Daphnia pulex: one gene and its partner. The protein of the gene in region 1 interacts with the protein of each later gene in a pairwise test. Links are inferred from orthologs where the notes say so. Each region holds a gene or a part of one and is shown in the gene's direction. Other genes may lie near its edges.

The links.
Region 2: the proteins of teneurin-m-like (region 1) and filamin-A-like interact in binary tests that used the Drosophila melanogaster proteins (3 or more experiments, as listed by UniProt). The link is inferred for Daphnia pulex from reciprocal best matches to the Drosophila melanogaster genes Ten-m and cher.

What each region holds. Positions count from the first base shown.
Region 1 is NC_060019.1:8,398,865-8,414,000, reverse strand, and holds the start of teneurin-m-like, read left to right. Parts: upstream 1-7,073; 5' UTR 7,074-7,597; intron 7,598-15,136. UniProt on the Drosophila melanogaster protein: Involved in neural development, regulating the establishment of proper connectivity within the nervous system. Acts as a homophilic and heterophilic synaptic cell adhesion molecule that drives synapse assembly.
Region 2 is NC_060020.1:2,401,587-2,416,680, reverse strand, and holds the start of filamin-A-like, read left to right. Parts: upstream 1-4,593; 5' UTR 4,594-4,794; intron 4,795-5,300; exon of another isoform or gene 5,301-5,582; intron 5,583-6,785; 5' UTR 6,786-6,952; coding exon 6,953-7,415; intron 7,416-13,369; coding exon 13,370-13,511; intron 13,512-13,673; coding exon 13,674-13,783; intron 13,784-13,874; coding exon 13,875-13,972; intron 13,973-14,050; coding exon 14,051-14,178; intron 14,179-14,413; coding exon 14,414-14,428; intron 14,429-14,884; coding exon 14,885-15,023; intron 15,024-15,089; coding exon 15,090-15,094. Other genes in the region: sarcolemmal membrane-associated protein-like, read left to right, coding at 273-338, 554-838, 905-1,034, 1,103-1,328, 1,405-1,542, 2,492-2,593. UniProt on the Drosophila melanogaster protein: Involved in the germline ring canal formation. May tether actin microfilament within the ovarian ring canal to the cell membrane. Contributes to actin microfilaments organization.

The sequences.
Region 1 (15,136 bases):
AATGGGTCAGAGAAAAAGGGGACTGTAGATGGGAAACAGACAAAGCCGGAAGAAAAAGAAAAAGAAAATCCCGGAAGACTGTGTGGGGGTGGAGGAATGAAGGCAACGACAAAAGTAGAGATGCGCCCCATTGGATTCGATTCCGGTTATGGCTTTTCCCTCCTCCTCCTCTTTCCTCATGTAGTCATCTCTTTATTATTATCTTTCGTTTATATTCGTCTATTTTTCTATGGCCTACAGACTCTTTTGGATTGGAACCCCGGGCTTCTTTTTTAAGGGGTTTTCTCTCTTTCAATCTCTCTGTCTTCTCTCTAGAGCTCTTTTTTTACGATGCCAGAGCCGGGCAGACAGTATTTCATCACTATACAACTCCGGATGATCGGAGTTGTTGCACCAGCAGTATACTCTATAAGCTGAGCAGCAGCGGCATCGGCGGCAAACGGCTCGGCTTCCGCTCTCTGCTGTTTTGGGCGTCTGTTTCTTGTTCTCTTTTTCCCTGTTTCTCTTAATTCGATTAAGGGCGGCGTGCATTGTGTTTCGGTAGGGAGAGAACCAGACAGACACACAAACGTTTCATGTTTATGGTAATGGTTGCGTGTAAACACGGAGTGATCAACGGTTATGTACGGAAACAGAATAGAAGAGGGGGGAAAACAGTAACGTACACAAAAGAGCCAAACGAACGATCTGATCCGGAAATGTCAACTGCTGTGTGTGTTTCGTTCTTGTTTGCCAGAGGGAGGAAAAAAGGGAAACAACAAAAAAGGGACTTGATGATTTCGATATTACTTTTTGTGATGTATTTATTCGAGTAATCGTATTACGTTCAGTAAAGAGGAAGACATAAAATCTTGTTGTTGGGGTACTTCATAATTTTTTAGTCGACTGTATATATTTATACGCGGATGCGCTCGTCTACGCGGAAAGAGAGAGAGAGAGAGAGAGGAGAGAGTGATGACGTGGTTTTCCGGTCGTGATCTGTCTGACACGGCGGAGTGCTGGTTTATACAAAGCTGAAAGCTTTGCGCTGTCGTCGCCCTCATTCCGTGAGAGATTCAAATGATTGGTGAATATCAAAAGGAGTCTGCGTGTGTGTGTCTGTGTCTGTCTGCTCTTCTTCTCGTCAAAGAATGGAAAGTGAAGCGCCATCACATCTACTTGAAAATGCGATTAATATCAGCTGGCCCCTCATTTCCTCACACCGTTTGATGAGGATCAAACGTTGGCGGGTGTGCTGACCTGCACGCCATTCCTCGCCGAAAATGTTTCCTTCGTTTCTTCAAAAAGGGAAAATAAAAGAAGTTTTGAATGGAATGATCTGAATCGGCGAGAAAAAGTGCCAAAACAGCAGGCCAGCGACGAGAAGATGCAGCAGCGCTTCTGTGCTTTGCACCACTCGAGGCCAAATGATTTGGACGGAGATGAAAGGAAGGGTACTTAGGTGTAGACTGTAGTAGTACTACTACGCTACTACCACTACTATACACACTCCCGATGATGTATTCGAGCTTATAGCGATAGTGGGAGGAGGGCTGCCAATCGATACGAAATAAAGGACTTTTGGGTGAGAAAGGAGAATCTCAATGGGCGCTCGATTATATAATATATTCCCTACCTACTGAATAGAAAGGATACCCCCGCAGGCGTGGTGGGGAGAGCGTGTCACGAGGATCAATTGAGAGGCATATACACAGTATCTACGGTAGTGTTCGGGAGCCTATCGGGTCCTTATGAGGAGCTATCCAGAAGAGCTAGGGTCCCTCTACAACACTCGGCAGTATAGACTCGGTTGTCATTTGCATCTATATTGCCTGTTTGCCGGGGGATGAGTCGTTGCGTGAGAGAGGCTCTTCGTTGCCCCTCTCTCTCACCTGCATCGATATATTCTCTTTGCATGAAGCGTGGAACCTTCCACCTTGATGGGCTCGCTCTCTCAAGTTCCATCAACTCGATGGGCCTATTTGAACCTATTGACTCTTTTTCTCCCTATATTGTATATTTTTCCATTTTCTCAGGAAAATTGGAAGTAAGGAAAAGTGGAAACGAGTCCTGCCACTCCATTACCCACACAAAAGACATTGACTTTCATCAAAATGAGAGTCGGCCCTCAAATCGATTGCCAATGACTTTTTTCTCTCCGAAAGAGATAAATCTTGTTTGATTCTTTCCACCGAATATAATCAAAGAAATCAGGTTTTTTTTTTTTTGGTTTGTTCACCCGGCGTTATTCACTGTGTACACACACAAATCCAATGGCTCTAATGTAACCAACCGCAAAGAAGCAAAACTGGGAGAGAAACCCGCATTTCCTAATGCTCCTTTCATTTCTGATGGACTTGAACCATTCCTCAACGTCGGAAAGCACTTACAAATTGTTTGGGATCCTTTTTTCTTTCCATCCTGCGTTTGTGTTTGTGTGGGAGTCCTATACTTTGATGTGTGTATATATTTAACACTTTGAAAGTGTCTTTCTCTGTGTAGGAAGTACTTTATCGTAGGTAGTGTCTGCTGCTGGGCTGCTGTACTAGTACCTAGTGAATATATATATATCGCAAAAACAACTCGAACCGCCAACGTAACACGGTAAAATCTCTGGGGATTTGATGGACTTTTTGGGTTTTTTTTGCTTCGGTCGAAAGGTACGATCAATATGGTTGCCAACTTTAATATGATAGGAACTCTCTATATAAATATACACGTACGCTATAGACAATGCTGTGATACTTGTATATTTATATAGCTAAAGAGATTTGAAGTTGACCGTGATTGGATTCATCACTGACCGGGAGCTTAGAGCTAGGCACAGAGTCCATCCCTCCTCCCCTCTCACATGTCATATGTTATCATTTGGAATACAGTCCGAGCGGATTTTCTATCCCTCCCCCTCTCTTTTACACTATTGCGGACGACGAATGGTCATCGTTATTTATCGGTTTGATTACAAACGGCCGAGGATGATTCCACCCCTCACCCCTCCAGGCCACATCAACTCGAATGTTTCTAAACTCTAACGTTAACTCGAACCGTTTGATTGCAGTGAATTTTTGAACGGGGCTCCCTTTTTTCTTCTCCCTTGCCGATGATGGCTAATGCGATTGATCCAAATCGTGTTACACACCAGGGAGAGATCAGGTCTCCAAGTTGACTCAACGCCTATCGGCTGAATCAACAGACGGAGAAGCTGTCGGGAGTTTCTTCTTTCCTCCTATGTTTGTTGTGCCCCCCCCCCCCTTCTATAACCTTTTATCTTGTTCCCTGCGCTGTTGTACTACAATATTGGACGCGTCAATGTTTTGTTTGAACAAGGCCCAGAATTCAGCCGGGGGTTCGTCGTCGTTCAAATGATTCCTGCAAATATTCGGCATATAAGAGGGACATCATGGCCAAGTTTGACAAAACTTGAAGGGCAAGGGGCGGATTGGATCGTTTCGTATTCTTGTCCTGATGGTCGTCGATTCTATCTGGAACTCTGCAAGGAGAGACTTGTACCAACTCTCCATACATTTACACAGACTCCCCCTAGCTCCTTTTTTTTGGTTCCGTCTCGTGACTGTAGGCAGAACGGTTGATTGTCGACGGCAGACAGGACAGTTGGGGTCCGTCACAGTTGTATCTATCAGATCCAGGAGCCATGCAAATGGGCGACTTGGGCGATGTTCTCAATCCTGGCCAACTTCATAATTAGATTTTTGGTGGTGGAATAGAACAGCCAAGTCTCCACTCCGCTCCGCGCGCGGTAGTTCCGGCAGACCTGGCAGCAGCAATCAACCGCTCTTACTATCTGGTCCTCATCATCGACACAAAAAGATGGCCCCTCCATTCTTCTCTCTCTTTTTTAATTTAAAAATAAAACTTGAAACAGCGGTTCATGCTATCCAAGCGATGAACGCACGATACTGGCCACTAGCGTCGCTGTTGCGCGTTCTTGTGTGTGTCTACGACTTGACCATCTGCTCTTGTTAGCAACTTGTTTACTTCCCACTCTATTCCATTCCCCCCCCCCTACCCGGGTATACATAATGCGATAGATGGCATTATAGCCTCCTCTTTGCAGGATACATATCGACCCCTTTTGTATTTTTGGTTGCCATACACAAGCGAATGGCTTTTCTTTCGCTGTGGGGTTCTCCCCTCCCTTTCCACCCAGTTGGGCTTCTTGGATAACTTTGAATGTCTCCAACCACCTAGAAAAATTATATTGGTCTGCCCTCCCCCCCACACAACGTGATGATGTAACGACAGAATCATCATCTCGGTAGGAGTAGACCATTTCTATTATTGTTACCTGCCCGCGGTGAATGCTGGGCGGTTGACAAAAGCGGTCCGCCGTGATTTATTCCGAGCCGTTGATATTGATTGCGCATTGATCCCGGCAACGGCGGGCGACATCCCGGGGATCAAGAAGCGAGATTTTGATGGGAGGAGGGTGGAAAGGATAGAGCTATAAGAACAAACGAGATTATACCGACGGAAAGAGAAAGAAATCCGCTGCTGCTGGCCTGATCGACCGCACGGGACGATTTGTTTAATACCGATCCGGGAGTCGGGGACCAACAACAGCTGGTGTGTGTGTGTGTGTGGTATCGGCGATTTGTGTACAAGATTGCGTTCACCATTTATAGACTGGGAATATGCTAATACGGGAAACTATCACGATTTTACGTCGAGAGTCCTGAGACATTGAACCGGGAGGGAAAGAAACAAATGAACAAGTTGTCGGATGATTAGATTTTTTCTGAGAATGTCAGCATCAGGAGCATTCTTAATAAGGAGGGAAGGCATTCTTCTTTCTTGCACCACGTAGGTTTCCGGGTTCCTTATAATATGAAGGAGAAATACTCGACGACTCTGCCATTTCAACAACAGCCCAAGCCTTTTGTCTTTTCTTCATTCTTCTTCTTCTTCTTCGGGGGCTGAAGAAAAAGAAGAATGCGACGAATATCTATTTCTGTCTATCGCGTAGAGGCTAAATGAATTGAGATTGCGTCGTGATGAAGAAGAGTCAGAGAATCAAGGTACCCAGCCCACGATAGTCTCTGCTAGTATTATATGGAGAAGAGTGCGGATCGATATCTCATTCTGAACCTCTTTTTCTATTTTCCTTGTCTTCTTTCCTTGTGTTTTCTTCTTTTTATCAGCGCGGGTAGGAGGGAGAAAAAATCCTCCTCACCCCTCTCCGATTGGACGTATCCAATCCGGATCGGATGGATCTGTAACTCTGTAAGATGAAAGAAAAGAGAAGTCGGCGACTTGTCGACCGAGGGAAAGAAAAAGACGGAAAACAGATGACAAAGCAGCAGCAGCATGCCCAAAGATAAAAAAATATAAAAAGCTTCGCGAACACAATACTGTGCACACAATTCCATGTGTGTGTGTGTGTGTGTATAAATCACGTTTGTATCTCCCTCTATTCGACTAATCTTTTGGGAAGGATCACACACAGAAAAAAGTAAAACCTTTTCCCATCTAGTTGAAATGTTTTTGTCGAGTCAACTGGCCGCCTTGAATTCGATTTTTGCCCAGTGGGGGGATCGTAGGGTCCAAATCCTTACGCAACCTATTTTGTGGAAAGCTTATACAGTCCCCCTTTTCTCGAAGCTGTTGAATCGAGACTGTTGAATCGCTATATATAGTCAAAAAGGATCCATGCTTGGATATTATGTTGCTGGACGCAAACAAGGCCAATTTCCGCCGACCAATCATCACAGGGAGGCCTTGGAGCTACAACGCCTTTTAATATTAGGAATGGATGGGGGGGTTGTTGTTGTTGTTTGGTGAGAATCGATCCGTCGTCGAATAGATACACAAGATTGAGGACCGCGACCCCGCCATCATTCGATATAGCCTTTCTGATTGAAAGGAGATGAAGCGCGTCGATTCTTTTGTTTTTTGTAGGGGGGTCTCTCCTTCATTGCAGACACTTTTGATGCAATTCTCCATCGACGACCGAAAAAAAGGGGGGGAAGAAAAACTCTAATCGATTATCGATCGAATTTGTTCTCTGAAATTGTTTCGAAAGTTTTAAAAACACCAGTGAGAAATTTTCCTTCTCTCTTGTTCTCACACGCAGGGCGTTGTTGCTTATAATACGGAGGGAGCCAAAAGTATAGCGAAGGGATCTATTATATATCCGGCTGACGCGCCGAGTCGGTGTATATGTTAGCGAAAGGGAAACAATAACAAAACGGGTGAAGAAGACGAACAAGACGCGTGTTTTCAACAGGATATAAAAAAAAAAGCGGCGCCGTCGACCCAATCACGCGTTCCTTCTCCCCCCACCCCCCACTGGAAGCCTGCTACTCCTCACTCTAATTCGCAATTTCCGTCGCTTTTTTTTCTCCCTTCTTCTTTTTACACCAGACGAGACGCCCCCACATCAACTCCCTCCTCTCCGCTCAGACTGATTTACTAGACGTTCTTTTTGCGTACCGCCCCCGGTGTATAAATCCAGGATTCATACCCGTTTTCCTTCCGCACCGCCAGAGTCTCTAGAAATGAATGTCACGAGTGAAAGCTGATGACATCATCACCTGATGTATCATCATCAACTTGGATTTGATTTGGGGAAAAAAACTTGGCTTATTGTATTCAACGCGCGAAATCTGATCCTGGTGATTCTTTATCACTCGACTTTTTTTTCGTAAATATCGTCGACGGGATTGTATTACGCACAAGACGGTGGCTTTGAGAAAACGAGCTTTGGCGTACACGCTAGATGTGTATGGGGGTAAAGGAGATTGCGTACGCGATCAAGCGCGACCGTTCAATTTGTCATCTTTTTTTTTGAAGATTCCGCGGGTTTTACTTGTGTGTGAATTGGGTTTGAGTGGCTCCCCTGTAACAGACGGACGACCTTTGAAAAGCTGCGAAAGGGTTTCGATTTTTCTTTTTCAAACATGGAAAAAAGATCCAATGTGTGTGTACACACACAGACACTATATACTATTACTACTATGACTACTATGTGTGTACGAGTGAGGAACACATACGAGTCTTGGGAGCTTCTTTTCGGCGCTTCGCCTTGCGAGAGAGGTTCCTCCTTCTATTGAAAATCAGCCCAAGGGCCAGAACGAGGGTTCAGTCGGCTTTAGCCTCTGTCAGAGTCGACACTAGCGCGTTCCCGCGTTCGCACTTTGAAGGGTTTTTTTCTCTTCTTCTTCTTGCTTCCTTTTATTGTACTGTGCCGTTTGCCATCCTCGCGGCTGTCATCAGGTGTGTTTGGTAAAAAAAAAGGGGGAACAAGTCGAGAAGCCGTCAAAAATCACTTTATTCTTGTAACTTTGTGTGTGTGTGTCTGCTAGACAGTGAAGACATCGGACAACGGGTGGAAAATAAAAGTTATTTTGTGTGTTTATCGAGCGGGAGTCACGCCGTCATTTCGTGTAGACCAGCAGCGACGAGTTGTTTGCCAACTAATATCATCACCGGACGTGTCATTCTTCTTCTTCCCGTTTGAATTTGAGTGATTTGATTGTTTGGAAAAGGGACAGCCAACAAATAAGTGAAGATAAAAACAATTGACAGTCCTCGAGAAAAAACAACAAAAAAGTTGTGGGTCGTCACGTCGGCCAGCGACGACGGATGGGATGATGTCTTGGTAAGTTGTTGTATAGTCGATGGAATTCCAGGCTCGCCCGTCATCCGGTTTTTTTGCGCGTGTAAAAAAGGGGGGAGAAAAAATGAAGAGTTTTAATCAGTGCGAGGACGGATGCGATCCGTGAAATGAGACGTTGATTAAGTCGATCCTTGCTCGAGCTATTTGGAATATGCCACAAGTTTGGCTGCTGTTGCCAGAGGGGCCTGCTGTGAGGAGGAGGTGGTGACTGGCCGGCCGAGAGTTTATCGCTGATAGCAGCAACACGAACAGAGCAGCTGTTCCTTTTGATTTCATTGGCCCGAGTCATCCGTCCGGACTGTTGACCTCTTGACCGTGTGGGGGGGGGCTCCTTCCCTCTCTGTCTAATATTAACTGTATCACATGCACCACAGTAGCCATCGATGTGTTTATTATACAGAACGTTATTGATATTATGTATAGCCGACGCTGTGCTAGATTCTCTGTTGACATTTATCTCGATTCTCGGTTATCGCCCCGTTTCCTCCGTTTTCAACCATCAAAACAGCGAAAAATTTCGATCGTAACGGATGCTCATGGGAGGAATTGTTATGACCTGATTATGTCACAATTGACTTGATTTATCTTCCCATTGAAAAACATTCGAGTTGATTGTAATAATAGCGAGTCAGCATCACAATTCGATTTGAAGCTGGGCCAAGATTTTCAGAGGCGACTAATCAGAAATGTCTTTTTGGAAAAAATTTTCCTCTTTTTGTTGTTGTTATTGTTATTACGGAGGCAGAAAAGTTAAGCCAAAGTTGGATTCTTGTTTTGACATCCCCCCTCTATATACCCGTCGTATCGCACGACACCGAAACAAACTTTTCCTTTTTCCTATTTTGTTACACGGGGGCTTCATTTGAGCTCCTTCAATGACACCGAACCTCCTCTCGCACTGAAAAGTTATGACGTCAGGTATAGCCGGGCCGCGGTGGGCGTCTCCTGCTGCGGGATTCCTGTCCCGAAACGGAAAAAAAAAACAACATCAGGAGCGATCGTCGGCCGCAGCTGCAGCGGAAACAAGACGAAAAAGAAGAAGAAAAAAATAGGGAAAAATAGAAAGGAATGCATGTTCCAGCTGGGTTAGAAAGGAGACGAGCCATCTCTTATATACAGGATAGTCTAGTATAGGTTGGATGTCGAGAAACAAATAAATAAAACATTGGGAAGAGCGCGCGTCCGGGGGATCCGGGTTTTTTTTTCGGTACATTGAAAAGGCAAGATCCTGTTGCAGAGATGCAGGGTTCCCTCTTTTTGTGTCTGTTTGTTCAACTTGATTTTCCCGCTACTTTTGACTTATCTACGTGCGCAGTTCATTTCCTATTTTTCTTTCATCTTTTCCCCTTGATTTTTTCCTTATTTGAATATTGATATCCGCCGTAAAAAGTCTCGTATTCAGAGAGTGGCGATGCTCATTAAAAATCTAACCGACAGCCAGAAGTTTGTTGCACACTCCCTTTTTTTCCCGAAACAAAAAATAATTCACTCATTCCGGAAATTTCAATTAAAATAAACACAAGCGTATACCGTAGTACACCCCCCCCCCCCCCACTGCTCTTTTTGTATGAAGGGGGGTAGGATCGTGTCAAAGAATAAAATTTGGGGATCATCATCATCATCTCTTGAATGTGATCCTTTCTCTCTGCGCCATATCCCCTGTTCAATTCCCGCTCATGTTGATGATGAATAATCGATTGAGACAGTGAGAGACAGACAGTCGTTGTATTCCCATCGGTTGCCACACACACACACTCGATAAGTCCTCCCACCACAGAGGCAACGTCGGGGAAAAAAGGGGGAAAGAAAAAAAGACATCTTTCCTCGTCAGACGTTGTCATCATCATCATCATAGGATTCAGTCGCATCTCTCTCGGATCGATGTCTAATTACCAGTCGACGTTCATGGCGGAGAACATTTGCGGATGAGGGAGAGCTAGAACCTATTCTCTTTCTCTCATATCCCCGGGAGAGAGAGAGAGAGAGAGAGAGAGAGAGTCAGTCGAATGTGTACAACAAGAGGAGCAGATATATTTATATAGAAAGAAAAGAAACGCGAGGAAGGATCGCTAGGTTGATCCGTTGATTCCATCATCATCATCATCGTCGTGGGCTAGAGAGAGAAGAAGGAAGACGATTTCTCCACCACCACCGAAAGGATCGTCCATCTAAACAGATTCCTATTAGCTCGGCTGATGACAGAATCGATCTCGTAGAGTAGAGAAAGCTCTTCCCTTAATTCCACCTCTTTTCTCATCTTCTGCCTACCCCCTTCACTGGGGAGGGGGCCAAAAGAAATCGTTTGCTTAGCTCCGCCAGGTGTCGTTGCTCCGCACGATAGAATAAATAATAACTAGACTAGGCACAGAGGAATTGAAAAACAACTGTTCGTGTAATCTCTTTTGTTTATTTACCTTTTTTCGTGCGGTAAACAAAAAAAGGGGGATGCTGCTACGTGGAGACCACGCAGGTATATATTCTAGTGCAGATGACGGTTGTTGTAGTCAGCTCTGTACTATGTCTTGCAGCTGCCCTGTCTGTTTTGGGGCGGTTACTATGGGTCTTCTCCCATCGGGACCGTTCGGGACAGGCAACACACGGCGGAATATTTAACCAAGTAGAAGTCGATTCGAAAGGACAGGATGAGTGCGCGACAGATTGGAGGAATATAAGTAGAAAAAGAAAAGAAAAGAAGTCAAGCGGAATCGATAAAAAAGAACGAACGATGGCCCGCCTGTCACACAGGTTCTCTCTCTTCTTATGTTTTCTTCCCCCCAAAAAAACCCCGTGTGTGTGCCATTTGCCTTGGGTACCATATAGAGTTGACTCGGCTAGTAGTAGTCAGTCCCGTGCAATTTGATTTTACACGTCACTTGCTTCGCTCCGGCGATGTGTCCTCGTGAATAAAGGAGACACACATAAAAATATATACAAATACATACCGGACAAACCCTCTACTACGAATGAAAGGGGAAGAAGAAAAAAAGCTACAACCACGAAATTTCTGCATCCGCTCTTTTCCAGTGCGCTGAAAGGCGGTGGAAATGTTATATAATCAAATTTTCACGAAGTCAAAGAAGAAGAAAAAAAGGAGATGGCATTTCCCTTTTTTTTCGTGAACCAACTCATTAATGCCTGCCATATTGCACACACGACGACGTGAAATCTTTTTCCCTCTCTTCTTGTTGCTTGAACTGTGTGTCGTTCCATCATATGGCCCCCACCTCCCGACTGGCAATTAGTCATGCGGTCGTCGGTTCCGGTATTATAATGAACGAGGGGCTATGATGGAAGAGCAGAGTGTATTTATATGGAGTGGGGGGGATATCATAATATCAAATGAGCACGTCTGTGGGTTCCTTCCTCCGACCACCCACACCCCACCACCGTCACCACTCGACGCTCAAACAAATTAAAATTTTCTCTTGTCGGGAAATATTTATTGTTTTCCTATTTCTTTGTCAACGTTCAAATTTCCCGAAATGTTATTTTTCTGCGAAAATATTTCTGTTTTTTCAAAAATATTTTATCTACTTTTTGGTTGTTGTACCTGCTGGGTGTTCCGTCGCAGTAGCTGCTGTGGCCCTTTTTTTTTATTTATTTAATGGTATTTATAATCCCGGATAAGATTTTTTTATTATTTACTGCATCTCTCCTCTTGTGTGTTTCTTTTTCGGCTCCTTTTCGGCACGTCAAAGTAAATTTTTATTTTTACGAGATAAAAAAATAAGCGGCGAAAGTTTGAGAATGAAAATATTTCAACACAAAGGAGAAACGCAAGGAAAAAGGTTTTAGTTGTTGTCGGTGTCTATGTTAACTTTGAGTGAACGCTCGTTTCTTACACCTGTCTGGTTTTGATTTGATTAGAAAAAAAAATGTGTTGAGACGTGGAATTCAAAAAGAGACTTTTTTTTCTCGAAAATTGTTTGTGTGTATTGTCTAAGGCTCTTCTTCGTCCCTCCTTTTAGTAGTCGGCCAAGAAAAACTGTTTTAATAGCCCCTCGTATGGGGCTTCAAATGCTTTTTCTTCGCAAAGGTGTTAAGTCCCCATAGGTCTCTTGTATCTTCTTCATGGTCTTAGAAGAAGAACTGAAGACGAAAAGGGGAATGATTAGCTTAACTTGGTAACACACGCGAGACAAATAGGATTAAATAAGGGAGAAGAAAAAAAAAAGAAACATTGTACAACCCTTTTAAAATAGTAGCCTAGAGCTAAGACTCTTTGCGTGCGCCAACTTTGTTACCTTGATTGTACACCCTATATTTATACTCCCGAAGAAAGAAAAATCACTTTTGATTAAATGGAAATTTCAATTTTCTTGATCAAATTTTAATGGCTTGTTGTCTGTGGGACTTTGGGACCTCAAATTTTTTTTCTTTTCAATGATTTTTCAAGAGTCTCTTTTAGTTTTCAACCTACTCCCTAATAATATTCTTCATACCAGATTGGTTGAAAAGGTCTAGTTGATCTGGGGTCGCGTTGGGGCCTATTTGTCTCTCTCCCCTCTCACAGTCGTCCACCAATTAAGGAGAGAAGAACTTGATTAACTTTTTCGTGTGTGCCGTTCGTCTGTGTGTGTGTGTGTGGGGGGGGGGGATATATTTTTTTCACAGGAAAGAGGGGAGTTGTGTGTCTGGACGGGCGCGAAAATCAATCGATCCCGCCAAAGAGAAAGAATCCTTCTAACTGGAGACGATTTTGGTTAATTATTGGGGATGAAGCTCTTGCCCAGATTCGCTATTATCTTGTAGTGATTCCACAAAGATGATGATGATAAAAGTCCTTGCAGTTTTTAGAAACTGGACGATCAATCGACTGGTTTAAAAAAAAAGGGAGAGAAGAAAAAAAAGAAGAAGGGAGCGTCGTCGGGACTGAAAGACGTGATCACCATTGAAATTGCGTCTTCTTCGTTGGTCAGAGAAGACGCGACACATTTCCCTTAATCTCGTCACGTCGGCTTCATGGACCCGACAATGGTGCATGCTGGACTAGAGGACCCTAGTTGGAATAAGAAGAGGGGGAAAGAAGAGGCTGTGCTGAATCGAATGCAATCAGCCGTTTGGCGGCTTCCTCCGGAGAAAGGGCTGTACAGGAGGGGGGATGGATGGATGGATGTTTTTTTTCTTCTTTTATTTCTTCCCTCCGTTCTGCCCAGGTTTCAACAGCAAGCCAAACACAGTGTATAGCCCAGGGAAAGTCGGCTTTATACTAAAGTGACTTTCAAAATAATGAAATGCGAATTGTGTGATCGATTTATAGTTTAAGGTACATCCGTCGTTCCGCTCCCGTTTTTTTTTTCTCTTTTTCTTTTTCCCGCCGACAACTGCCGAGCCATCAGTTTCTATTGGACATGCAAAATAAAGAAATGTAAGCAAGTTGTGTGTAGGCGTCGTGTTGTCGTGTCCTCCTCGTTATACAACTTTTGGGAATCTTCTTCTTATTCTTGTCAATTGAATTTCGTCGGCTCCTTTTTCAATTGTATCCTGCAGGCCAGAATTTGGTATTCACGTATAGTATAGACGTGTACGAGCCATACACTCGTATAATATGTGTATCCATTCGTCTCTCTCTCTCTCTATTCGCTTGATTTGTGTGCATTGTACGACGACTCGTACGTCCATCCAGTTTGAGTGTTTGGAAGGAATAGAAAGGCGACTGGATGAGGAGGGGGGGGGGCCTGGTGTTCCACTCTTGTCAGCACTGAATCTATTTGAATCGATCAAGTTTGTATAGGAGAGACGTGGGTCTCGGAAAAGGCGCCCATTCGGCATATCTGCCTACGCCGACTCGGATGTGTGTGTATGTGTGTGTATGGAACGTCTAGTATTGAGACAGATAGCCGTGCTGGAAATTTCGAATCCACCCAAGTTCCATTCCATAATATAATACAGAGATGTGGAGGCATCACAAGAGGACGTCGAAATTGAATGTATAAGAAGAGTCTGAGGCGCATGGGCTGAAACCAACTCGATTTGCCATGGAACTGCGGACCCTGTTTCAACATTTAAATACAACGTAGATAGGAAAGAAAGCCATCCTACAACACGGATATATATAGATGGACAAACTCAATAATAAATTTATTTCCAGTCGACGATTTCATGTTGCGTTCCACCACTAGAGCAGCGCGGACGGACTAAACTTTGATGACAAAGAAAATTGAAATCCCTCGGACCAGGAATAAACAAGTCTGTGACTTTTTCCTTTCTGACCGAGAAAAGTTTTTACACGTTGAAAGATTTATCAATGTTGGGATAGTTTTGCGCCAACTTTTTCCCCCTCCGTTCGATAGAGCATCATAAACCGCACACAGCATTCAATCAGTGCGTTGTAGAGAGAAGGTTACCTTGTTAAGGGCGGCCGTCAGTTCTCCTATAATGAGCTGGTGGAAGATGATGAAGCAGCGTATAGTCGCCTATATAACCATACAGAGCGGCTGATGTTTATCTTTTGGGTTCATTCTATCATATTGCATTGACGCCACGAGCACACACACATGTGTGCTCGGGCTGTACCCCTTTTCTTTTCTGGATGTGATTAAAAGAAGAAGAAGAGGAACAGTGGCAGCAGTTCAGTGGTGGTAGTGTCTGGTTATTATTATCTGCTTCTTCTTCTTCTTGGGCCATCAGGAATGAAAGGCGCCACAGAGGATCTAGCAAAAAGGGGTGGAGCTTTGGTTGCCAATCATATCTTTGATGAATGGGAATTGTTGGTGCAGCCCCGAGCAACAAAAGAAAGTCATCACAGTCAACAACTCTACTGTAGTACTGGCATTACGTCTCTATACTACACACTTCTTCTTTTTTTGATGTAGTATATTCCATTCCGTACTGAGAGTCGTTCCTTTGTTCTCGACTCTTGCCAGGATATGTTATTACATCAAGATATTACTATTTTTAAAGACTAAGACTACACCAGAATAATCTGAATGGAAGTTGATGTCGGCTGAATAATCGATGATCAGTAGGCCGGATCGATCGATTTCCCCCCTTTTATTTTTTACTCTCAAAATAAAAGAAAAGTGGTGCTCGCGATTCTTTCCGAGTCGAATGCTGTTATAAATGTAAGTGTCGAGCCCTGTGTATATGTAGCGAAGCCGGCGGGAAAAGGGGCGAGAAGAAGAAGAAGCGCTATATGGAAAGTGTCGACAAGAAAATGTCGACTGTCCTTTCTCCTCCGTTTCTTCTTCTTCTTCTTCTTCGTTTTTGATCGTATACAGTCAAAAGTGCTCGAGTGGTGGTGTTGTTGTCTTCTTGAAAGCTCTCTCTTGTTCTCTCCCCCCCTCCAACTCACGAACGCAACGATCTACTAGTCCTCCTCCCACACGGACGGTATATTCCCGGGCGTCCGTTAGACTCCATCGTACGCGTCGCATTAAAAACATGGGAGGAGGAACCCCCGTTGTACGTGCTGGCACAGCGCCAATCTTTTCCCCCTTTTTTTCTACTTTTCGAAATCTTTTTTTTTTTTTCCGAAATAAATACAAATAGTAACTGCTGTATAAATAATAGTAAAAATAT
Region 2 (15,094 bases), on another chromosome or scaffold:
AATTACTTAAGAGAATCTAGAATCTTTAGAGAAATTTTCAATGTGGTATTGGACTTCTGGTTGTTTATTGAGCCTTTTTGTTTGGCTTCATCATTACTTTTTGTGATTCCTTGTGTTATAATGTCTTGCCCTTTCTCTGACTCGGTTTTTTTCTCTTTTCCGCCCAAAAAAAATTAATCCATTAAACCCCCTAGTGAGCGTAACATTGCTGCCAATCATCGCTTCCGACTTGTTCGGATACTTGACGTTTTTTTGTTAATTGATGTGTGTAGGTTCATGCACGTGGGATTGTTATCTTTACCGCAATCAGTTGGCATGTTGTAGTTTAATTTTACAAGGTGAATTGTACTAACTCTTTCTTGGCTCTACTCCAGCTTTTCATTGCGTTTTTTGCTGCTTGCCCATTTTGTTTTTTTCTCTTTCTTTGGCTGACATGGAACATTTGCTGTCTCTTTTTTCTACTCTGCTAAATTGATCGCGTCGAGCTTTACATTAGCTGTTCGCTACGAAAATGGATGATGGCTAAGTTATTCCTTTGTTTGGATTGGTGCAGAGCTTTTGGAAGAAACGCGCGCCAAGTGCCGTGTACTTGAGTCAGAAGTGGAGAGACGGCAGCTAGAGGCACAAGATGGTTGGTCTACAGCCGCACATCTACAGCAATACTTTAGAAACCTGCACAACGTTCTCAAAGGCTCATCTGAGCAGGAAGAGGAATCCGCTGATGAACCATCTGAGCTCGCTGAGCTCGTCCGTTCCAGTATCGTTTCACTCAATAATGAGTACCAAGAACTTCGAGAAGCTAATGCGAAGAATAAGGATCTTATTTCGCTATTGACCTGTAAGCAAGGAGTTTTTTTATCACTTTTTTATGCCAAATACTTCATTTGCAACAACGATATTTCAGTACGACTAAGTAATTACGAAAAGGAAGAGAAAGCCAATCGTGTCAGTGAAACCACCGCTCATAGAGGCTCAACCTCAGAATTGGAATATCTCAGGGACGAAGTTGCTATCCTCACCATCCAGTTGAAAGAGTAACAAGAAAACATTTTCTATCCATAATTAATTTTCTATTTAACCTTTTTTATTTATTTATTTTTAGGATGGAAGTGTCGAGGATAGAGCAAATTGAGGAACGCCAGAAATGGCAACAAGCCTACCAGTCGCTAGCTCTCAGCGTAGAGAATCGGGACAGTGGAGTGGTTAGCGGATTTAGCAGTCCAATCAGTAATCCACCGAGTTCCCGTGATCCTGAAATGAGAGATTCTGGCATCCGGGAACTTAATTCCGGAGAAGATGCTAATTCGGAAGAATATGTTACCATGCAGGTAAAACGAAATTTTATTTGAAAATTTCTTGAGGCACAGTTTTTAATTTATGTTTTTTTGTTTTTGTTATTTTAAGCAATTGTCTGAGGTACGAAACGAACTCGAAGCTTTACGGCGCCACTACGATAATGTACAAACGGAAAAGAAGGAGCTAGAAGAAGAATTCTCCCAGTTAAAGGACAACTACTCGTTACTATCTTCTCAGTCAAAAACGGTAAGTCCAGTCAGTCTCCGTTTCTTCCAAATCTTCTTTCACTGTTTTATGCACAATTTTAATTTGTAAGTTTTCTTCATTATTCTTTGGTTCGTTGATAATTCTATCCATCCATTCTTCTTTTTTCTTTTCTGTTCTCTTTATTTTTCTTTTCTTTTGAATGCCGAATGCATTTTCTAGGTTGGCCGCTGGATGTATGTAGTCCCGTTGGCCGTCCTTGTCTTGGCGGTCCTCATAGCTTTCAGGCCATCGGATTGAAATAACGATAAATTAAAAGACAGAAAAGGGGAAGCACCAATTCTATTTCATCCTTTGTCTTCCTTTAGAAAACTAAATGTGTGTGCCTTCTAAAAGACATATTCTTTTTGTCAGCTGAGAGTCCGTCAACTCTTGTTTTTTCCTCACGTGAAACTGAACGAAGAGGGAATAAGAAAAGGATTTGAACACAAAACAAATAAGAAGCTATTTGAATTCTTCGATAGTCTGCTTGATTTTGGATTCTCCTTTTCTCTCTCGCTTAGGTTCTGTTTTCTCACATTTTTTTTCTTCAGCTGTATTTGTTACCTTCTTATTATTGGCTTTCTTTTCTCTCGTTCGTCGACTTGTGTTTATGTGCCTTCAAAATTTATTTTAGAGATGAATTTATTGTTTTTGTTAGTTCAATATCCGTGGCCAAAAAACAACGCAAACAAAAACAACAAAACATTTTTCGCTCTGTATGTTTGCTTCGATTTACTTTATTCTTTAACTTTCATTTTTTTTTCTCGTCTTAAACTAACACCGCATTGACGTAAGAAATTTATGCTAACGGTGGACATTAGAGAACAAAAAAAAGCTGATCCATCGATTATTTTCCTTTCTCTTTTTCTCTGTTTGTTTGTTTTTTTTTGTTTTTTTTTTTGCTGTGCCTCTTGTTTTTTTTTCGTGTTTGTCTGCGCGTTTTCTGTAGGCGACGGCGTTGTGTCTCATGCCCTTGCTCGTATTGTTCATCTCGTTCTTCCTGGCCTTCTACCGCTTCTTCTCGCGGCTGACGGCTACATTCGAGCCCTGAGAGATTTTGCCGGACAACACGGAAGAAAAATAAGGAGAGAGACAATAACAGCAACAACAAAAACATCATCATCATCATCAATTGTTTTTTTCCTGTTCTTCTACCGATTGTAAGCTTTTTTTTTTTCAATTACTTCTATCTACGCAAATGGCGGGATATGCAGATAATATCCCTTTTTTCGTGTTTTCTTTTGAAACATATTTGCTAGCGACAGCAGCTTTTTAATTTTACCAAGTGCCATCAATATGACAAAAGAGTGATGTCATTAACTAGTGTGTGTTTTCCGTCAACGCTACAGAAAATGGCTTAGTCTCCTTTCTGTGTGTGTATGTAAAACGTACAACGTCGGTGGGGAGGGGGAGAGTCGAATCCTCTTTCCTCCACCTTCTAACAGGACCTGTGCAGAGTTATTTTTTCCTTTGCTATCTCTCTCTCTCTCCATGATTTTCTACTGTCACACAAAACACACACCCCTCCGAAGAATGTTGTTCCTCTTTGTTTTTCAAATGCTTAGTTTTACGGCATAGTTGGCGTGCAATAATAGGCTCCCCTCAATGATTTTTCTTCCTTTTTTTTTTTTTCTTTTGCTGTCCGTCCTACCTCTGTCTATCCACCAGCTCATTATCGTCGACATCTTTCTCTTGTGTGTGAGGGAAAGTTTAATATTTTTCTCACCAGCCAACGACATTATTTTCAGCTTCGCGCGTCTTCGACTTGAAAGAGTAAGAGTGGATCACATAATATTGATTTGATGGGTCATTGATTTACTCGTTCTGCTCCCCAGTTTTGTGTCACGTTTCCTCCTTAAGGTCTTTGGCGGATAACCGTCCGGCGAGATGGATAACCATCGCTGGGAGGCCTCGGATCTTAAGGAGTTTATGAAAAATTTCAACCAACAACAAACATGTTCTATGTTTTGTAGTCTAGTCCTCTTCTACGGATATTGTACACACTCCCCATTTTCTCTCTTTACTATCCCACCTGCCCCTGCCCCGTGTCCTGTTATTTAACTCGCCCCATTAAACATCAGCAACAAAAAAAAAAAGAAAGAAGAGAAAATGAAAAGAAACTAACAAGACAATACAATACTTTGTTTTTTTCTTTCTTGGTCTGGATCTATGACCGAGTATTGATGCTCATCGCGCTGCGGAACCGAAAGATTATCTGAAGACAATCGTATCGGTTCTGTTTTCGTGAAGCGGATCGGAACGACTTTTATGTACATTTTCTTCTCTCATGCAAGTAAGTATAGATGATATGCTGTTTCTTCGTGTTGTAGTTCAAGGTGGCAGCGAAAGCGAGTTGCGGTTATATCCCCGACGTTTTCGTAACTTTCCACTCGACACTGAAGAGTATAGCGCACAGCACGATTCGTATGAAATTCCGTTATTTTATTATTCATCGTTTTTTGTTACGATCCAAGATTTTCTTTGCCTTCCTTTTTGGTCAAACTTGATGTGGAATGATGACCAGCCGAGAGCCAGCTGGACAATCGTGCACGGCTGGAAATGAAATCCCGCCGTGCGCTCGGCTATGCTGTTGCCGTTGGTTCTGTGTGTGTGTGTGTGTGTGGTGCGTCGTTGAGCGTGTTGAGTGTAAGTACTTTTTTCACCTATTTGAACATCGAGCGCGGGCAAAAAGAGATTTTTTCCCTCGACGCGTCTATATAAGGATCGACCGTTCCGGCGGAGGAGAGAGGAGAACGCGGGGAACAAAAAAAAAAAAAGAATAACGCACGCGTGCAGAGTGAGACGTTGAGTGTCTGTGTAGAATAGAAGCGTAGCTTTTCTTTGATGGAAAAAAAAAGAAGGAAATCCTTTTTTGAAAAAGTCGAGTTCCAACATCGTAAATAATGTATTATTGTTTCAGAAAGGGGAGAAGAAAAGGTGCGGAGAGAGTACATCATCGTGGTCCGCTGAACCGAACGCTGAAAATGCCTTACAGCCTTCGGGACGGCCAGCGATGGAGGCCGTCGTCGTCTATCGCTGTTGTCGCAGTCGATTGTGAGGAGCGGGTGAGACGTAACGGAACAACTGGAAGCGGCCGCGACATTTTTGTCTGTCGGTGTAGTTGGATTAAAGTTGTGCGTGTGCGGAGGAGGGCAATTTCGAACGACGTGTTCAGACGTCGAATTCCCTGGCCCATTTAAGGTCTTTCCGAATCGGAGTTAACGATTTTGTCAACAGTTCTCAGTTTTTAAGGTATGTGTCTTTTTTTTTTTCTCTTTTATTTGGTTGCTCTGCACGTCATAGCGATATACGTTTCGAACCGTGAATGAATCATCCCCGTATAAGTAGACTGTGGGGTCACCTCCCCTCGGCTCCTTTTTATTTTTCTCTTCATCTTTTTTGTTTTCCCAACTGCCTCCTATGTGCTGTACCACTTCCTAACCTCTGCCGTTCTTTTCGGGGGCTGTTGTCAGTCGGTGTGGGAGGAATGTCTCTCTTCACTCCTACCGACGACGACGACCCCCCCCCCCTCCTTCTACCGCCTCCTCCTCCTCCACCCGCGCACGCTATGGCGAAGAATTTCTGAAACGGTGATGGCGTGGGCTATTTTTAAAAAAATCCGTCGTAGAGACGAACGGGATCTATGCAAGAGAGTAGTCCGGAGCGGCTACATTATAAGAGAAACGACGGCGCAGCCCTCCCACCACCCCGAAAAACCTACAAACCAAAAAACCTTTCGCTCTCTCTTCTGTCTACAACAGACGTCGACACAGACACACGCCACTTTTTCTCGCATTCGCTCTCATCGTGCCGTGCAGTGAGGGTAAACGCTTGCCATATTAGCCGTTTTGCGTCTGTGTTGGTCCAGTTGGTCCAGAGAGTTGCAGCACCCCTGCCCCTCTCGAGAGCATCGGGCCGTTCCCGGTCGGTAAAAGCCCAGAACAAACGGAGATTGATCGGGGGAGAAAAAGAAAAACAAAAAAAACAATCGTATCGGATATTCTTAGCAAACCAACAAAGGATTCGTCACCGTCAATTCCGTAAGAATCTTTTAACATTGTTTTTTTTGTTCACCTTCCTTTCTGTTGTGTTTAAAAAACAGACAAATTCTTCCATTTCGTTATTGGATCCTCGTTTGTTTGCGTCGTCGTCAATGGAATGACGACGACGAGGGCGCTTAGTTACACGGATGACAAGACGTGACAAGTTAGTGGAATCCAATCAACTTTTGTGCTGTTTGTTGATACGGTCCTGGCCGATCCTCGTACCGGAATCGGTGTCGCTTGGCGCCGCCAGCGCCATCTATGGGCACGCATCTCGTATGCACGTCAGCAGAGGAATGAAGATGAACATGTCGGCAGAAGGCGGCTTTAGGGCTCATTCCGCAATGTTGGGCAATCAATTCGTCAGAGTCCTTTTATGGAATGAAAAGCGAAGGAAAAATGAAGACAAGTTGTTGTAATAATGAACGAAGAAAAGAAGATTGGCAACAAAAGCCGAAATCTCGGCAATATCCTGCCGACTGACCCAAATCTGATAGAGTGCTGACGTACAAACCACCTACTACTGTTTTACACTTTTTTCCCCCCTTTTTGTAAACGCATTCGCCAAATGAAATTGCCGGTAAAATAACATCATTAAGCAGCCCAGATACGAGCGCTTAATTGCTGTCTTGGGGAAGAATAATAACTCGCTGTAGGAAATAACTTAACCTACTACTCCTTTGGGCTTTCAGAAACGAATCAAATTAATCATTTCTTATTTTGGTATGTACCAGTTGACAGGTAATTGCTTTACCGCAGGTGGTGATTGGATTACAACATTGCGTTCGTTTGTTATACCCCATTCATTTTCTGTGCTGTAGTTTCTGTCGTCGGCAATGACGAATTTTTTTTAAATTTAGCGGCGAGCTTATAAGTGATCCAGCTGTTCTCATTCCATCCTTAAAGCGGAGGGGGGAAAGAAACCAAACGGAAAAATATGAAAGAGAGGGGGGGGGGGGATAAACGTGCCACCACCAAACCACGCCCGTCAATCTGTTCCTATTTTCTTTTGTTTCCATTCCAACGAAATGAATCATTTATCCCAAATAGATATTTCTCTTTTCTAAAAGCTAGAAACTAATTTCCTGACATTTTTTTTCGTCCGTTTGTTCAAGGTTTCCTTTGATTTCTTCCGCTATTAGGTAATATTGCGTCATGTTGCACAATTAATGGTCTTTTTTTGAATTCGATTGAAATTAGACTCAACAGGTGGCGATTGAATCGCCAAAGGAGCGAAGCCGAGAGACAAGCGTGATTGGACCGAACCCATCGGTCGGTGTGTTCGTGTGTGTGCGACTCTGGTCTTGTGGCCTCTATCTGAATAGCCCGGCGGGCGGGAGCAAAGCGGCAGCTACAGGCTTTACACCATGAGTCAACAGGGAGGAGATGTCAGTTTGGCCCGCGACAGCCCGGCCGAGCAGGTGGTCTCGTCCGTCATTAGCCAGTTACAACAGCAGCATCAGCAGCAGCAGCAGCAACTTCAACAGCAAGAAGGAGCAGGCAATCAACAACAGAGCAGCGCCGAAGACGATCAAGTCATGGTGGCAACGGAACGAGATCTGGCCGAGGATGCCCAGTGGAAGCGCATCCAGCAAAACACATTTACACGATGGGCCAACGAGCACCTGAAAACCGTCGACAAATTCATTGGCAGTTTGGAGACGGACCTGTCGGACGGACTCAAACTGATCGCCCTCGTCGAAGTCTTGTCCGGCAAGAAATTGCCCAAGCACACCAAGAAACCCACCTTCCGTTCGCAGAAGCTCGAGAACGTTTCCGTGGCTCTGAAATTCCTGGAGCATGACGAAGGCATCCGCATCGTCAATATTGGTGAGTCCCATTTTATTTTTATTTTTAAATTTTATTCCGTAATTTTTCTGTGGATTTTCTGTTCGTCCCACTTTCTTTTCCGCTCGTTTCCAACTGACCATTTGCTTGGTATTGTTGGCTATTTTTTGTTACGAGTCATCGCTCGTTCCGTACATTAGCCTCTTCTTGTTCTGTTTCCCCTCAAATCAATTTGTCGGGCATCCGCCGTACTCAATGTCACACATCCGAGAGAGTCAGAGAATAGTTAGAGAGAACCAGAGAAACGGAACATTTCTCTGACCCTCTGGGATGGAAGAGACGAAACAAAAAAAAAAGAGTCGAGGTGAAATCGTGACTGAGTATATAACCGAGGGAAACATCTGCCAAACTTCACGCGCTCCCATCGTTTGCGTTATGTGTTATTTCAACCACGTCTTCTTCTTCTTCTTCTTCTTCTTCTTCTTGGTTCTTCTCCTTCCAGCATTTTATTACGGCAGGGTTGGCAGCGTTTGTTTTTTGGTTTCCTCGGTGCCGTTTTTCTTTGCACTGTTTATGGTCTAAAGTCAACACGTGCACGCTGTAGAGCAGCAACAACACGACTAAAAAAGAACCCCCAACTATGATTTCTTATCAGGGATATCACCTATATTTTTTTTTATAGTACGAACATGTTATCTGCTTAGCTTGTGAACTGGAATCTTTGGGCTTGACGGGAGGGTTTTGATCTGGTAAAAAGTCCGTGGACCGGTCGGCGGGTTTTGCCAGTTTCTAACCCGCCCTTTTTTGTGTGATTGTTTGAACGGTCGACGTAATACCAACGGAATGTCCGTGCTGTTGACTTTGTATAAGCGGCGGGGGTAAAGAGAAAAGAAGAGGAAAAAAAAACGGGACCATGCGAATGAAAAAAAAAATTGTTGGATGTTTAGAAGAAAGCGGACGGAAGGGATTCTGCAATACGCCCAGGCTTTTCATCAGTGAATGGATCATCGTCGCAGTCCAATCCGAACGCTGGGCAGCTTCTAAGAAGGGAGGGAGAGTCTTTGAAGCAGCTGTCTCGACCGTATCGGGAAAAATGGTGGGGGGAATAAGTCAGAAAAAGAAACCCCAGGAAAATGATTGCGTGATTTCTGGCTAGACACCGTCTACGGAATTTGGCATCGTTCTTCTCTTTTTTTGTGTGTGTAGCACACCATCGCCAGTTTTTCCAGTCATGGATGCATTGATTGGACCTCCTCGCTGGATGGTATACAATGGACCGTATCGCTCGCCTCCCGTATCAATTTGTTTTTGCTTATTCTCTTCCATCGTGCGATTGTCCAACCAAAACTCAGTGGGAGCCCAAGAAGACACGCAATAAAATACGCCGGCAACAAACCAAAAAAAAAACCTCCAGGAAATAAAACACACGCCGTTGAATATCAACAAAACCAGAAAAAGAAATAGAAAAAAAAGGGAAAGTTTCTCTCGTGTGGGATGGAACTGACGTAGACGGTCAGAGGCTGTTGGTACCGTTCCAAAGAGCCAGAAGAAGAAAAGGGTCAGTTGACGCATCGATGGTCGACTCTCTTGCTAGCTGTCAATCTGGGATTTCTTATATTGCCTTGGATTACGCGCGTCTCTTGATGTGTGAAAAACGGCCCATGTGGCATCATCAAATCCCTCCCGAGATTGTCAAACATCCATTTGCGTTCCTAGTGGTCACACTCACGCATTGGGTTGGCGTATTTTGGTTGTTTTCTATTTCTCCTTTTTTATTTTTTCGTCGAGTGGGCGTTCAATGGTGCCATTGAATTATTGCCCGGAGAGAGATTCTTTATCCTTCGCTTCTTCTTCTTCTTCTTCTTCGTTTGCTTCTTCTTCTTTTTCTTCTTTCTTCCTCCGTGGATACAGAAGAAAAAAAAGTAGGCGGAGTTTGACAAAGAGAAAAGAACCCTCGCTAGCTAGTGGCCATATATGGTCTCCTCATGATGTTTCCTTTTTTTATTCTCTAAATTCTCTCTTGCGTTGCCCGTCTAGTTTGTTATGGTAGACGAAGGGAGGCTGCCCTGGCCGGCATATAACCTACTTTAAGAGGGCGAGCAGCGTACACCTTTCGCTTGCGTTGCGTGCGTCCCGTTACGCACGCAACGCCACCTTTTACAGTGCGCCCGTAATAACAATAATAGGTACCGCAAGACGTAGTTGCAGCAGCAGCAGGAGCATCAGTAGAGAGGGCTGTATAATTCCATCTGCACGTAGGGGAGTCTGGATGAGAAGCTGCAAGTCAAATTATTTCAAAACGATCGCCCGTGGTCCGACAAGAACAAACAAAAAAACCTACACGAAATAGCCCCAGTTTTGTGTTTCCATGATTATGACATTGTGGTTTTTATTTTTGTGGAAAGAAAAAAAAAATGTCTTCCCTTCTTGAAAGCACAATTTATTATCACCAGTATAATATTATAACCGCAAATTCCTCTATGCGGCGTTGCGGCGGAACAGAAGGAGGTCGATTACAATCGCGAGCTCCTGGGTTATTCTCATGTGGTTCGAACTCGGTGTGCATTATACACAATAAAACATGGACAATTTTCAATTGAAGCCTGAAGGAATTTCTTTCCTTTTTTGTCTATAAAATATGACGACAAATGACTCGTAACAGATTGAATGTAATTTTTTTGTTTTGGAAAGACCCACGCGTTTCTTTGCGTGGGCTTCCATTATGGTCCGTATCCCGGACCTGCTGATCCAATGCTATTTATTTTATTTGGTTCCACAAAACGGGAGAGAAACATGTTTTTTTCGTTTGGTTGTTTTGTTTGTATTTTTCGTGTTTATTTTTTTTATATTTTTCCTGTTGGCTTTATTTCGTCTACTAATACGTATATAGTCTTCCTCCAGTTGTTGCCATTCACTTCATTGTGTTACTGGCAAACATACAGCAGGTCGGAGACTGCACGCAAGTCTTGACGGTTATCTCATTTCCTTCTTTTGTTTTCTTTACGAATTTATTGGCCTCTTCTTGCGCCTTATTGCGACGACGTTTCTCATTGAAATTGCTTAAATTTATTTGCGGCTTTTCTTCCATTTTGATTCGGGACTTTTGAGGGGGCGGTAATGCGGCCGCACCATTGACTGACTTCATTCCTTCCAGATTATTCAAATCTCGGCTGTGCATGAGAAACACGTACCACACTGCACACAAGAAGAGATTAGAAACTTTCCCTGCTGTGTTCTAAACGATGGTGCCGTGATGATTGCCTTCTTTTTTGCGTATAGTTAAACGCAACAAATCTTCGAGTCACGCCGGTGTTTTTCTTCTGCTTCTTTTGTCCTCTCTATAACCCCCTCGGCTTTTGAGAAAGAAAAAAGATCACACCATCAGTTGATTTCGTAATTCAAATGGCAAGGCACACACCAGAACGGTTAACCAAAACATATATGGTGCCGGGGATGCAGGTGAATAATATTTCGGCAAAAAAAAAAAAACAAGCGCAAGAAAACAGACGCTGGGTTAGCGCTGTTAATCGTTTTCTTCCAACTTCATCTCAAATGGCATTACTTAAAAGTGTTGTTGCAATATAAACAGAAAAAACAAGAAAACGCGGACTCTCGGTCGCCAGTCACGTTCGCCAGCAGTCTGCCATCGACCCTTTTCCCGCAGACAAGTTCATCGGAGAAAATCAACGTGCACGATTTCACTCCATTTCTCCACATATTGGGCATATAGGTGGCTGGTGGTTGCCGATGATGCCTGGGCTACTCTGGATATTGTTATTAAAAGAATTAGCTTTTTTTCTTCGCTCTCAAGTGGGCCACTAACAGGCTCGGCAGAAAGAGCGCGCGGACAGCACTGCTGATGAGTGAGCCACTGAGAGCTGCATTGAAAATGCAGTCCCTCTCTATGTGCTCCACTCCGCTTATAGGACTTTTTATTTTAAATAGCAACTAAAAAAGAAAATTACAAATTACAGTCAATATATAGGCGGGGAGAGTTGTTCCATGGCTGTTTTTGCTGACTTGTGTTTCCAGCTCCTTTTAAGGTCAACAGATTCTTTCCCGACCGACCTTATTCGATCTCTCTCGGGGCGCATGCGTGCCCGCGCTAGACGACGTCACCTGCAACTTGTTTCTTTTCTATCATTCCTTTCTTCTGATTCTTTTTTCTCGGTATTCTTATATACTCCTCCAATCATTGCCGAATGAAGAAACCCACAGATGTATAATCTGCATTTTTCGTCCTCGCTCTGTCGTCCGGCTTGGAGGTGGACCAACAAAAACCCAAACCAAACAAACAAACGAAAAAGAAAACCGGGACCCACCGCCAGAGTCTTCAGTCTCCGCCACTAACTTGATCTATTGGCTGAATGAAGATTATTATAATGGTGCGGATGAGAAATACCCTACAAGGAGTGGCTAGCTAGCTAGCTCGTTCATTCAAACATGGCGAGTAGGGTGAAAGTCTTGCGGGTAAATAAGAAATGGCTATACTTAAACAAGAGATACTGTCGACCTCTTCCCAGCTGGGACAGTGTACAATGAAATGGACCGAGGTCGCAGGCCCGCGGTTTTGTCAAATCCTTGTATTGACGTCAATGAACGATCAAGTCTTTTTCTCTCTCTCTCTCTTTCTCGGGTTGAATTGAAAAATAGTCGTAAAAACGGCAGCAGTCAGCAACAATCAACCATAACAAAACGCTTTTCCCTTTTGAGTTTCTGGTTTGTTTACAAATTCGTCGTTTTGAATAAATAATAACCGAAATTTCACTTGACCATATCGAGGAATAAGAGTCTGCAGCAGTTATGCATCATATTCTAATGCAAAGTATGTCGAAATATTTTCGATTAGGGTAATGAGATAAGAAAAAAAGAAAATAATAATAAATACCTGTCCGTATTCCTCGAATGTTTTTTTTTTTTTGTCTATTCTTCGTGATTTTGTTTGGGAGCAGATAACACCTTCCGGCTGTCGGGATTGAAATATACGTTCTGTGCGGTCCCGCCCGAACCCATTGCTCCTCTGCTTTTTAAAAAAAAAAAGAAGTAATGCCGTCGAGTTGGATTTCGCGCCCACTCAGTCTTACCTTTATTTGGAGATGGATGGATGGATGGGAGAAGACGAAGAAAAAAAAAACACAGACATTTGAATATTTAGACTTCACCGCGCTATTTTTTGTGCGTGTGTGTTGTGGTCCGTCGTTTGGCCAGTCAAACATGTCGCGCTCTTATTCCCTTTTTTTTTCCGAACATGTAAACTACTCTGTAAACGTCACGTCGAGCCACCCCTCTAGCATTGGTAACCTTAGATGGGAAAAGATCGACGCCTTTTTATTTTCCTGTTGTTGTTTTCTCCCGAAAGCCGACGGGATCGACATCATCGCCGTCATCCCGTCATCACAGGGAAAGAAAATGTTTCCTTTTACCATCCCCAGAATAAAGAGGGGGCTAGAATGCCATATTTGGTCATAGAGGACTACCCTCTATGGCAAGGCCGTCTACCGACAGACTGACGTCCAAAAGGAAAGAAGAAAAAGTCCCAACTTTTGCCTTGTATGGCCATGCCGGCGATGGCTGAGGTGACCCACTGGGTTTTGGTTCTACCTTTTTCTTTTTCTTTCCTTCATCGGAGGACAGCGACACGCAGCTTATTCGTGGATAGCTTGGAAAGCCAACGATTCCTACATAGATTATGCATAGTGTACGTCTATCACTTTTTTCCCTATGGCCGTCGTCATGACATATACACAGGGGCAAGATGGAGCCCTTGTGATATGTATATGGGTCTCTCTCCTTATTTCTATTACCCCCAAGTTCTATATACCTCGTTATGGACATGTCACGCGTAACCGAATATTTCTTTGATTTGGATATACGGCTGGATGGCGAGCGCGCGCGCGTGTGGCCACCTTATTCGGTTGAGCGTGTTGTATATAGGCTGGAGCTGCCGTACAATTTACATTTGTGGTAATGCAAATGACGTTCTCTGTTGTGTGCAGATTCCAGCGACATCGTCGACTGCAAATTAAAATTGATCCTTGGCCTAATATGGACGCTCATCTTGCACTATTCCATCTCGATGCCCATGTGGGAAGGAGACGACGGCAGCCGCGACGGCAAAGGACCTACGCCCAAGCAACGGTACGAAATCAACTCGCCCAATATTCTATGCAGATTTCCGTTTTCTTTTCTTCTTTTATTTTCCTCTCGCCATATGGTTATATGGCTTATCGCTAAATCATCGCACACGGCTTTTATCATAAATCATGTCTTTTGTGTGTTTTAATCGGATAAAAACAACAGATTGATGGGATGGATCCAGTCCAAGATCCCCGATATGCCCATCACCAATTTCACCAATGACTGGAACGATGGACGCGCCATCGGTGCCCTCGTTGACGGTGTCGCTCCCGGTACGAATTTCCAGAATTTCGCGATTTTGTCTGTTTGATTTTGTTTGACGTATATATTCATACTTTCTCTGTCTTGGTGCGTGTGGAACAGGTTTGTGTCCCGATTGGAGCGATTGGGATCCCAAAGATGCCCTACAGAATGCGACTGAAGCCATGGGCTTGGCCGACGATTGGCTCAAGATCCCTCAGGTATGTTAGACGCCATTTGTCTTGACTTTCATCCGTCCTTCTCTCACAAATATGGCGTTTACCCAAAACATTTTCCAGCTGGTCAAACCCGAAGAGATGGTTAACCCCAATGTGGATGAACTCTCCATGATGACCTACCTGTCGCAGTACCCAAATGCCAAACTGCAACCCAACGCCCCTCTCCGCCCCAAAGCCAATCCCAACAGGTAAATCACCGGCCAACCGGTGTGGCAGTTTTCTTTTCTTTTCTTTAAATCAATTTGAATTATTTTGGAAACAGGACGAAAAATTGGGGTAACTCGTATTGATGTTTTTCTCTTATTTCTCTTTTTTTATTTTTGCGACCATATTTTAAACTCTACGCGAACGGTACGCGTGACAATTTAATGCGAACGGTATTAAATCATTGCGAAACACGTGGGCGTGTGTTTGAATATTCAGACCAGCTCCACCCAGGTACTACTACTGCCCGTGAATTCATCTATCACGTTCTATCTCGCTATCTGTTGCCTCGTGAAATCACATGAGAATCACCCTACATATTTTCACACTTTCATCAGCATGTCGAACCGCTGATAGTCCCGCATCGTGGTTTATCTCAAGCCAAAACCAAAGATCTTTTTTAAAATTTTAAACAAAAACCAAAACTATTCAAAAAAGCGCATCAATAAAAACAACAATCATATCCGTAATCAAGAGCTCTAATAAATGTAAACGCTCGTCCTCGTCATATGTCATCTTTAAAGCAGACTCGATTGCGACTGTTATAGTAATATCTAGATCAATCACGGCTTTATTGACAGCATGTATCTGGTGTCGTCGCAAATTGTACATCCTGTATAGTTTCTCATTATTCATCCTTGGATTTTTGAATTAATTCTGGTTTTTATTTTACACAACCAATAACAATAGGGTCCGTGCTTACGGTCCCGGTGTTGAGCCAACCGGCCCCGTTGTCGGAGCACCAGCCAATTTCACCGTCGAAACCTTTTCGGCCGGTAAAGGCAATGTCGAAGTGTCTGTGGATGATCCCCGCGGTCAAAAGATCGCTGTAAGTTAGTTAGACTCATAAATTCCAGTTGAATTGGTCCAATAAAAATGTTGTTGGCGTTTCTAGGCTGA